Linked DNA regions of Daphnia pulex. The protein of the gene in region 1 binds, or shares a complex with, the protein of each later gene. Links are inferred from orthologs where the notes say so. Each region holds a gene or a part of one and is shown in the gene's direction. Other genes may lie near its edges. The genes, in order: nuclear factor NF-kappa-B p100 subunit-like and thioredoxin-2-like.

What was found.
Region 2: the proteins of nuclear factor NF-kappa-B p100 subunit-like (region 1) and thioredoxin-2-like are in contact, whole or in part, in an NMR structure (PDB 1MDI), measured with the Homo sapiens proteins. The link is inferred for Daphnia pulex from reciprocal best matches to the Homo sapiens genes NFKB1 and TXN. Residues at the interface, in NP_001158884.1 of Homo sapiens: Arg56, Phe57, Arg58, Tyr59, Val60, Cys61, Glu62, Gly63, Pro64; in NP_003320.2 of Homo sapiens: Thr30, Trp31, Cys32, Pro34, Met37, Ile38, Asp58, Val59, Asp60, Asp61, Gln63, Ala66, Ser67, Val71, Lys72, Pro75, Ser90, Gly91, Ala92.

The regions. Positions count from the first base shown.
Region 1 is NC_060019.1:3,340,514-3,344,448, reverse strand, and holds the start of nuclear factor NF-kappa-B p100 subunit-like, read left to right. Parts: upstream 1-961; 5' UTR 962-1,173; intron 1,174-1,270; exon of another isoform or gene 1,271-1,298; 5' UTR 1,299-1,299; coding exon 1,300-1,429; intron 1,430-1,497; coding exon 1,498-1,673; intron 1,674-2,104; coding exon 2,105-2,283; intron 2,284-2,355; coding exon 2,356-2,470; intron 2,471-2,564; coding exon 2,565-2,703; intron 2,704-3,663; coding exon 3,664-3,768; intron 3,769-3,835; coding exon 3,836-3,935.
Region 2 is NC_060019.1:1,507,669-1,511,062, reverse strand, and holds thioredoxin-2-like, read left to right. Parts: upstream 1-1,275; 5' UTR 1,276-1,394; coding exon 1,395-1,418; intron 1,419-1,600; coding exon 1,601-1,705; intron 1,706-1,772; coding exon 1,773-1,898; exon of another isoform or gene 1,899-1,955; coding exon 1,956-2,018; 3' UTR 2,019-2,574; downstream 2,575-3,394. Other genes in the region: E3 ubiquitin-protein ligase rnf8-B-like, read left to right, coding at 3,099-3,164, 3,221-3,394. UniProt on the Homo sapiens protein: Participates in various redox reactions through the reversible oxidation of its active center dithiol to a disulfide and catalyzes dithiol-disulfide exchange reactions.

The DNA.
Region 1 (3,935 bases):
TAGATGTGTTACTCAATTGGTCATCTTTTAATTTTTACTTCAAGCCCAAATACAATCTAGTCTATTTTATATTAAAATTATTCTTTAGTTGTTTACCCTTCTTACATGCTATCCCCGACAAGATTATGGCGGTCATTTTGATGATAAGCCTTAGAAGTGTACTGACCATAAATTCTTAATTCCCTAGCAAGAATCTAAAACTATTTAATTTAATTTATTAAAAACAAACGAGTTAAAAAAATTCAAAAGAGGTCAGACCCAGACCAAGTTGGAAACTCGAAAGCGAACGAGGGGTCTGATTATAAACACCTGTAAATAAATTTTGTTATAAAAGTAATTGTAGCCTATTTTAAAAATGAACGTTTTCAACGGTATTGTGCATGGAATATTCTAAATACCATACTATATTATTTTAAATATTGCAAAATTTGCGCACGTCATTGCTGTTTGCATATAATATTCGATAACATTTGATTTAATGAATGCACCAGCGACTTGCCATGCTAATCTTTGGTGTTGGAATCAAAGTCGAGATATGAAACGTAACATGTGCATACCACCGAAAGTTTGTTTATTACACATTTATGGACTGGGAAAGTGGACGTCTCTCGAGTGCAACATGAGGCAATGTATCCACAAATAAAGGGGAAAAACCCACCAGTTTTCGAAAACATAGCGTATGGAATTAGAATGTACATTTAAGAAGCGGAGAGTTATGGCGCTGTCCGCTGCGGCAGATTTTTTTTTGTGTTGTCAAATTCACATTTTTATTTATCCAAAGAAAAACTACGGCTTCATATGAAAGTTTAAAAAAATATTAAATATAAATTAGCTGAGAAATTAATTTTTTACTTTAAAGGTTTTTAACTTTTTACAATTTATAATTGTTTGTGTTTCAATTTTACGCCGACAGAGGTCTTAGGTTTTACAACTCCGACTATGGAATATAATCGAAAGTTTTGTTTATACACATGGGTTTTCCCCTTCTGTCATATCAATGAAGCTTCAGGCTAAAGATTGCGCGAGCAGTGCTAAATTTACTTATAAAACTTTGTAACTTTGTGAAAGGCTCCAGTTTGAACGGTCTTTGTTGAATATAACACGCAAATCGAAATGATTTTTAGCTAATTCGTTTGCGTTGAATTAATACGAGAATTCTTTCGTGTATTCAAGGTTAGTTCCGTTGTGTATCTTATGAACTGTGTTGACTGTTGATATACATTATATCATTTATATCTCTTTAACATATAATCAAATGTTATTTAATAAGTATGATTATTAAAATTAAAATTATGAAGAATGCATCAACCAATTGGTAGTAGTCCTTACTCACCTGAATCATCACATTCCTCAAGTTCTCCGATAAGCCACAGCTTCTCCAGTGGAAACTCTCCTATGATGTGTGCCTCACCAAACAGTGCCTACATGGGTAATCAGCAGTTTTTTAGAATGAATTTATGTTAAAATTGTGTAAAATATGGATTCATTTTATTACAGGAAATTCTCCCAGTTCAATTCCTATCAGACCAGGCAGGCTATCCCCATGTTTATCTATACTTAATCAACCACAAGGGAAGTTTCGTTTTCGTTATGCCTCTGAAATGACTGGAACACATGGATGTCTTATGGCAGAAAGCAAGGAACGGAACAAAAAAGAATATATTCGTGTTCAAGTATGTTTCACTTGCTAATGTAAATATTTACCAACTCATCCATAATTTCAAATCTGGAATCTTAAGTATTTAATTATAATTACTAGGTTGTAGTAAATTATATATGGGTTGAATTATCATTCAAAACTGTTGATCTTTAATCTCCACTTTATAACTCAGAAGTCAGAATACCTTAATTTAAAAAGAGAGGTAGGGGTTAACGCCAAGCGATTCCTGCTATTGCGTTTAATGTTATGCCGTTGTAAAACAGTGTACGATAATTCCACCTATAGAACTGTATTTCAACTTTTTCAGTTGACACTTATTTCTGTCACACATATTAGTTGTGTTAGAATTAGTCAGTTTTGTATTGGTATATTTTCATTTTGCCAATTATTCACAATTATTTAGAATTAATATTAATGCCAGTATTACTAAATGACTGTCTTTAGTTGGAAGGCTGTCAAGATCGAGAAGCTATTATTCGTTGTACATTAGTTACAAACAGTTCAAAACCTGTTCCACATGTCCATCGTCTTGGAGGGGAAGGAAACTCCAATGGGAACAATGGGAACGAAGGAGAATACCAAGAAATGATAGTCTCCGCTGGTAAAAACGAATGGACTGCAACGTATGTATAGGCTACTCAATAAAATTGTTAATAATAGTAATAATAAATTTTTTTAAATATTTTGTTTTAAAGTTTCTCCGGTTTAACAATTATACACACAGCGAAAAAACAAGTCCGTGAGGTGGTTGAAAGGCGTTTGATAAATGAACTGGGGAATGCACCCATGAATCGTAACCAAGGGCAACAGGTATGGAGTTTTCAATGATTATATTCTATTTTAAGTAGTCTTATTTGTTGTTGCATTAGTAAAGTTATTTAACATTCATCCCCGGTCATTATAGTTGAAGGACGAAGCAGACAAGATAGCCAATACAATGGATCTTCATTCGGTTAAACTAAAGTTTGAGGCCTTTGTGGAACAAAACGGTTTTCGTGAACAGATCTGCCCACCTCAATATTCCCAAGCTATTCACAATTTAAGTAAGTTTTAAAAGATATCTATAGTAGTGGAAAATGTTGCTAATTAAAACTACCGCGTTAAAGAAGCGTGAAAGGAAAACGGAAAATCTAATTCGTCGTCCTAAATTTCGTATTTTTTTATGCACGTACTGTAGTTTTTAATACTAGCTAAGTATATTAATGGAAAAACAACAATAACCGAGGAGTTTGAGCGTTATTCATTTTTATTCCATTTTCTATTAATTAACGGTGACCTCTCTTTTTTTTATTGTTTCGATTATTTCTCTCCACTTTCAGAAGCGTAAAAAATGACGCCTTCGAAATCCAAGTAGCAAAGTCATTTTTAAATAGTTAAACGTAGGAATCCACTCAAATCAATTTACATGTGAAACCTCATTTCGGATTGAGAATTTTTGTAAAAAAATCACATTGATTTGATTCAAGTAAAAAAAAATTAATTTAAATCGATTCGAATCAATTTATGTTAAGATCTTTATCCACAAAACATTTGTATGGTTAGTACAGACAAAATAAATTACTTTTTAATCATTTAAAGAATAAAAGCACAAAAATCGAAATTTAAAAGGTTTCCATAAAATTGTTATCCTGTCTGTGCTTCTTTAAACGATTATAAAGTATTTTGAATGACACACATTTTGATACTTTTACATATGATTTTATTTAAAAAAATTACGGAAATCAGCATTAATGTACACATAAAAAAATATCCGCAATAACTTCAATGAATATTCACCTTCAAATTTTCTATTAATTCAATTGACCCGCGAATTTGGATTTTGTCAATTTAAGTTAGACTTCATCTTAAGTTTCGAAAAACTCGAATTCGAATTTCGATTTATACGAGATTTGATTGGAAGTCCTAAACATGAAGTGGATGTTCAGTCTTTCTAAACGAAGTGGAATTTTACTAACGCAGCAATACTGTTCTAACCTAATCTTACCGTGTTTTTCAAAATCTAGAAAGCACTCATGCTGGAGACTTACGCATCGTCCGAATAGATAAGGTCTATAGTTGTTGTACGGGACAGGAAGAGATTTTCATCTTCGTGGAGAAAGTCAATAAAAGTAAAATAATTAGATTAATTTCATGCAACATTTTCCATCTAACATCCAATTCAAAATTTTATTACAGAGGACATCAAAATTCGTTTCTTCGAGACAGATGAAAACGAGCAAGAAATCTGGAGTGCATTTGCCGACTTTTCTGAATTGGATGTTCATCATCAATATGC
Region 2 (3,394 bases), about 1.8 Mb from region 1:
ACAGCCATTGATGTGGCAAGGGTATAGGGAATGAGCACACACACACACAGAGTCAAGGCTCGTTGTTTAGACGGTGGGGTTGGTTAAAAAACTTAATTAAAACACGTTGAAAACACTGATCGAGTCGATGAAAATGAGCGAAACGGATGGAGGACTACCTTAGCGGCGCGGCACACGTGACCCTGCCCCCGAGAATTCCATCATTCGAAATAATATCCCTTTTTCTCTTTACACTAGCTCCGAGTAGTCGGTTGTAAGAAAAAAGTTAAAACCGCGACACATCCACAAGCCTTGGCTGGGCTGCTGCTGCTGCTGCCCAAGCTCCGCCCACTGTATAGCCCAACGGTTTCCCCCTAGTCTCGCCAGTCAGAACCTTTGGGGTTCTCTCCAACGAATTCACGGAGGGACTTTCTACAGACAATTTTCACCAGCACCAGCAGTACGGGGAGAAACGAATATGTTGACGTCACCAAGCCACCCCCCTCCAATGGACAACTGGACTCCACCCCCTCCTCTCTAGGCTTCTCGTTTCTCTGCTTCTCTCTCAGATGCCTCTTCGTTTAATGAGGTAACTTTTGCACCCACATCGTATACACACACACACGCAGCAACACGATTGTACACACCTAATACGATATACTGTTGCAATCAGCGAGAATTAATTACAAGCATTTTCTATACTAGTCACAATGCTTTCTTCGGGTGACGACGACGCCATTGACTGATTAATTTCGACTATCGGTTGCTAGATGGCATTGTGCGATTGTGGGCTCCCCCTATGTTTTTCTGATGACATTCTTTGGTTCATTTTTATTCATTTTTTTATTTAATCGCATCACTGTGGCTCTTTAATCAAAGCCGTGGGTTGTGATGAGGGGACCTTCCATTAATGTGCATCGTTCACGATTTACGTTTTACGTCAGCAACAAAATGTATGTTGGAAAAGGGGGCGGTACTAGAGGTTTTTACTCACTAGGTAGGTCACTACTCCATTCGTTGGCTATAATTTACTACAGAAAACTTTTAGACACCATGAAAAATTAAACGATTACTAAAAATAATGATCAACGCGTGAAAGATAAGTTTTCAAGTGCTCGTGAAATTGAATCTTTTCCTTGGGGACTGATGCTTCGCCACTAGATGGCAGACTATGAGATCCAACCAAACTTGATTTATTAAAGGCCCGAAGAATCAATTAGAACCCAAGCCTAAATGTTCTCATTTTTCCCACCAGTGGCGCTAGCAACAAACATAAGACACTTGTCCGATCTGTGCGTTAAATTCTGACTCGTCATTTTACGCTTGAGCCGGTCGTTTGCAAGTAGCTCGTCGAGGATCTTCACGTGACATTCGATTCCTGCTGTTCGTGTAAACTTTGGGATATATTAATCATCATGGTCTATCAAGTTAAGGACAAGGTACACATTTCAATCGACTCATGCTCTCGGTTTTTGTTACATCATCGTTTGAAAGGAGAGAAACGCCATCAATTTGACCTCCTTTTATCGTTGTTGCGTTATGCCAAATTACAAAACCAACAACAAACTCGTGGACGGTTCCTTTTCCGTGTTTGATATACTTTCTTTTTGAAAAATTCTAGCAAGACTTCAATAACCAGTTGAAGGAAGCAGGAGGAAAATTAGTTGTTGTGGACTTTTATGCCACTTGGTGTGGCCCCTGCAAGATGATTGCTCCAAAAATTGAGGTCACCAACTTAATATTCATAACTGTTTCAAAGTAGGTGTTTCATCAACTTTCAAATTCTACTGCAGGCAATGTCGAAAGAGATGCCCAATGTTGTTTTCGTTAAAGTTGATGTGGATGAATGTGAAGATGTTGCATCTGAGTACAACATTTCGTGCATGCCTACATTCCTCTACTTGAAGAATGGTGTAAAGGTGAGTCATCTCTAAAAATTTCATAATTACAGCTTTCTAACTGTCGTTTCATTATAGGTTGCTGAGTTTTCTGGAGCCAATGAAGACCAGCTTAGAAAACTGATTGATCAACATAAATAGATTTCCCAGTTATGTGGCCTGTATATTGGCTAGATGAATACTATGCTCTTTTATATTAAATAATTGTGTAATGGGATTTTCTGCATTATACCACAGGAAATACAGGCTGACAAAAAAATTGTTCTTTCATTGTTAGATACAAATTACACTATAAACTAAAAGCATTTTCACATTTTCCCAATTGATGTGAACTGCAGCGTTTTTCATACCATTAAGAAGCCATAGCAACGGGAACCCCGACTTCAACAACAGCAATAATTTAATGACATTGCCTAAACCTAAATCGATGAATGCGTTCGATAAAGCTTTAACTAACTATATTAATATTGATCAGTGTGTCGTCCCTCTCTCGCTTGTAATGAAATCCAGTTTTTACGGTTGGGTTCTTGATAACTATAAGGATTTCACGGTCAGATTTAAATCGCTCAGTAACACACACACAAAGAGCCGAAACAGCCGCTATATCCAATCGATAACATAATAATTGGATTTCGAGTAAAACGTGACTCTCTAGCAATCTTTATTACATCAGATCTGATTACGACGGCAGTTAATACATTGTAATGGAAAAATTAAGGCACCGAGAGGGTCTACAGAATTTCCTATAGAAAAATGAGCCTACGATCAGAAAGGGAACCCTAAAAATTATAACAAGATACAACTGCATTTTCTTCCTGTTAGCTACAGCGATCACAACGGAATGTAAATTTAGAGTGCTCTTTTCCGTTTTGGAGGACACTTTGTCTAGTTATAGCGGGAAATTACCAAATAGGATGGGAATTTTTATTGCGCCATCCATTTCGTTTAACTGCAACTAGAATCATAATCGAAAATTATTCGACCGAATATTAATGATATGCCAATTCGGAATCAACGACAAAATTTACAATAAATTACGATTTTATTGCTACAATAAATTGCGTAACTTTTCCCAATATTATCGGCACAAAAAAAAATTCCCAATTCGATCATCTCAATCGATACTTAATCCAAAAACATTTAGTTCGCAGAACATTTCTGCCACTGAGACTTCATTCGACATCGACGAGCTACTGATCAAGACGTACATCAAGCATCAAGATGGGAAAACAGACACGTGAACGTCAACTGAAACTCGAAGCCAGAATTGTGAAGCTGAAAAGTCGAGTAAGTACCGCAGTCCTATCATTAAATAATTAAAATTTATGCATTCGTATAAATAGGAAAAAGAACTCCGAATCTCGAAAGATCGAATTGTGGCCAGGTTTGAGCGCACGTGCCAACTTTTAAGACGACTGAACCAGCTACGAGAAGAGCAGTGTGAGTTGTTGAAGGAGAAATTCCGATTGACGTTGCATCTGCAAGTCGACTCCGAAGTTCAGTCACGTGTTCAAAGA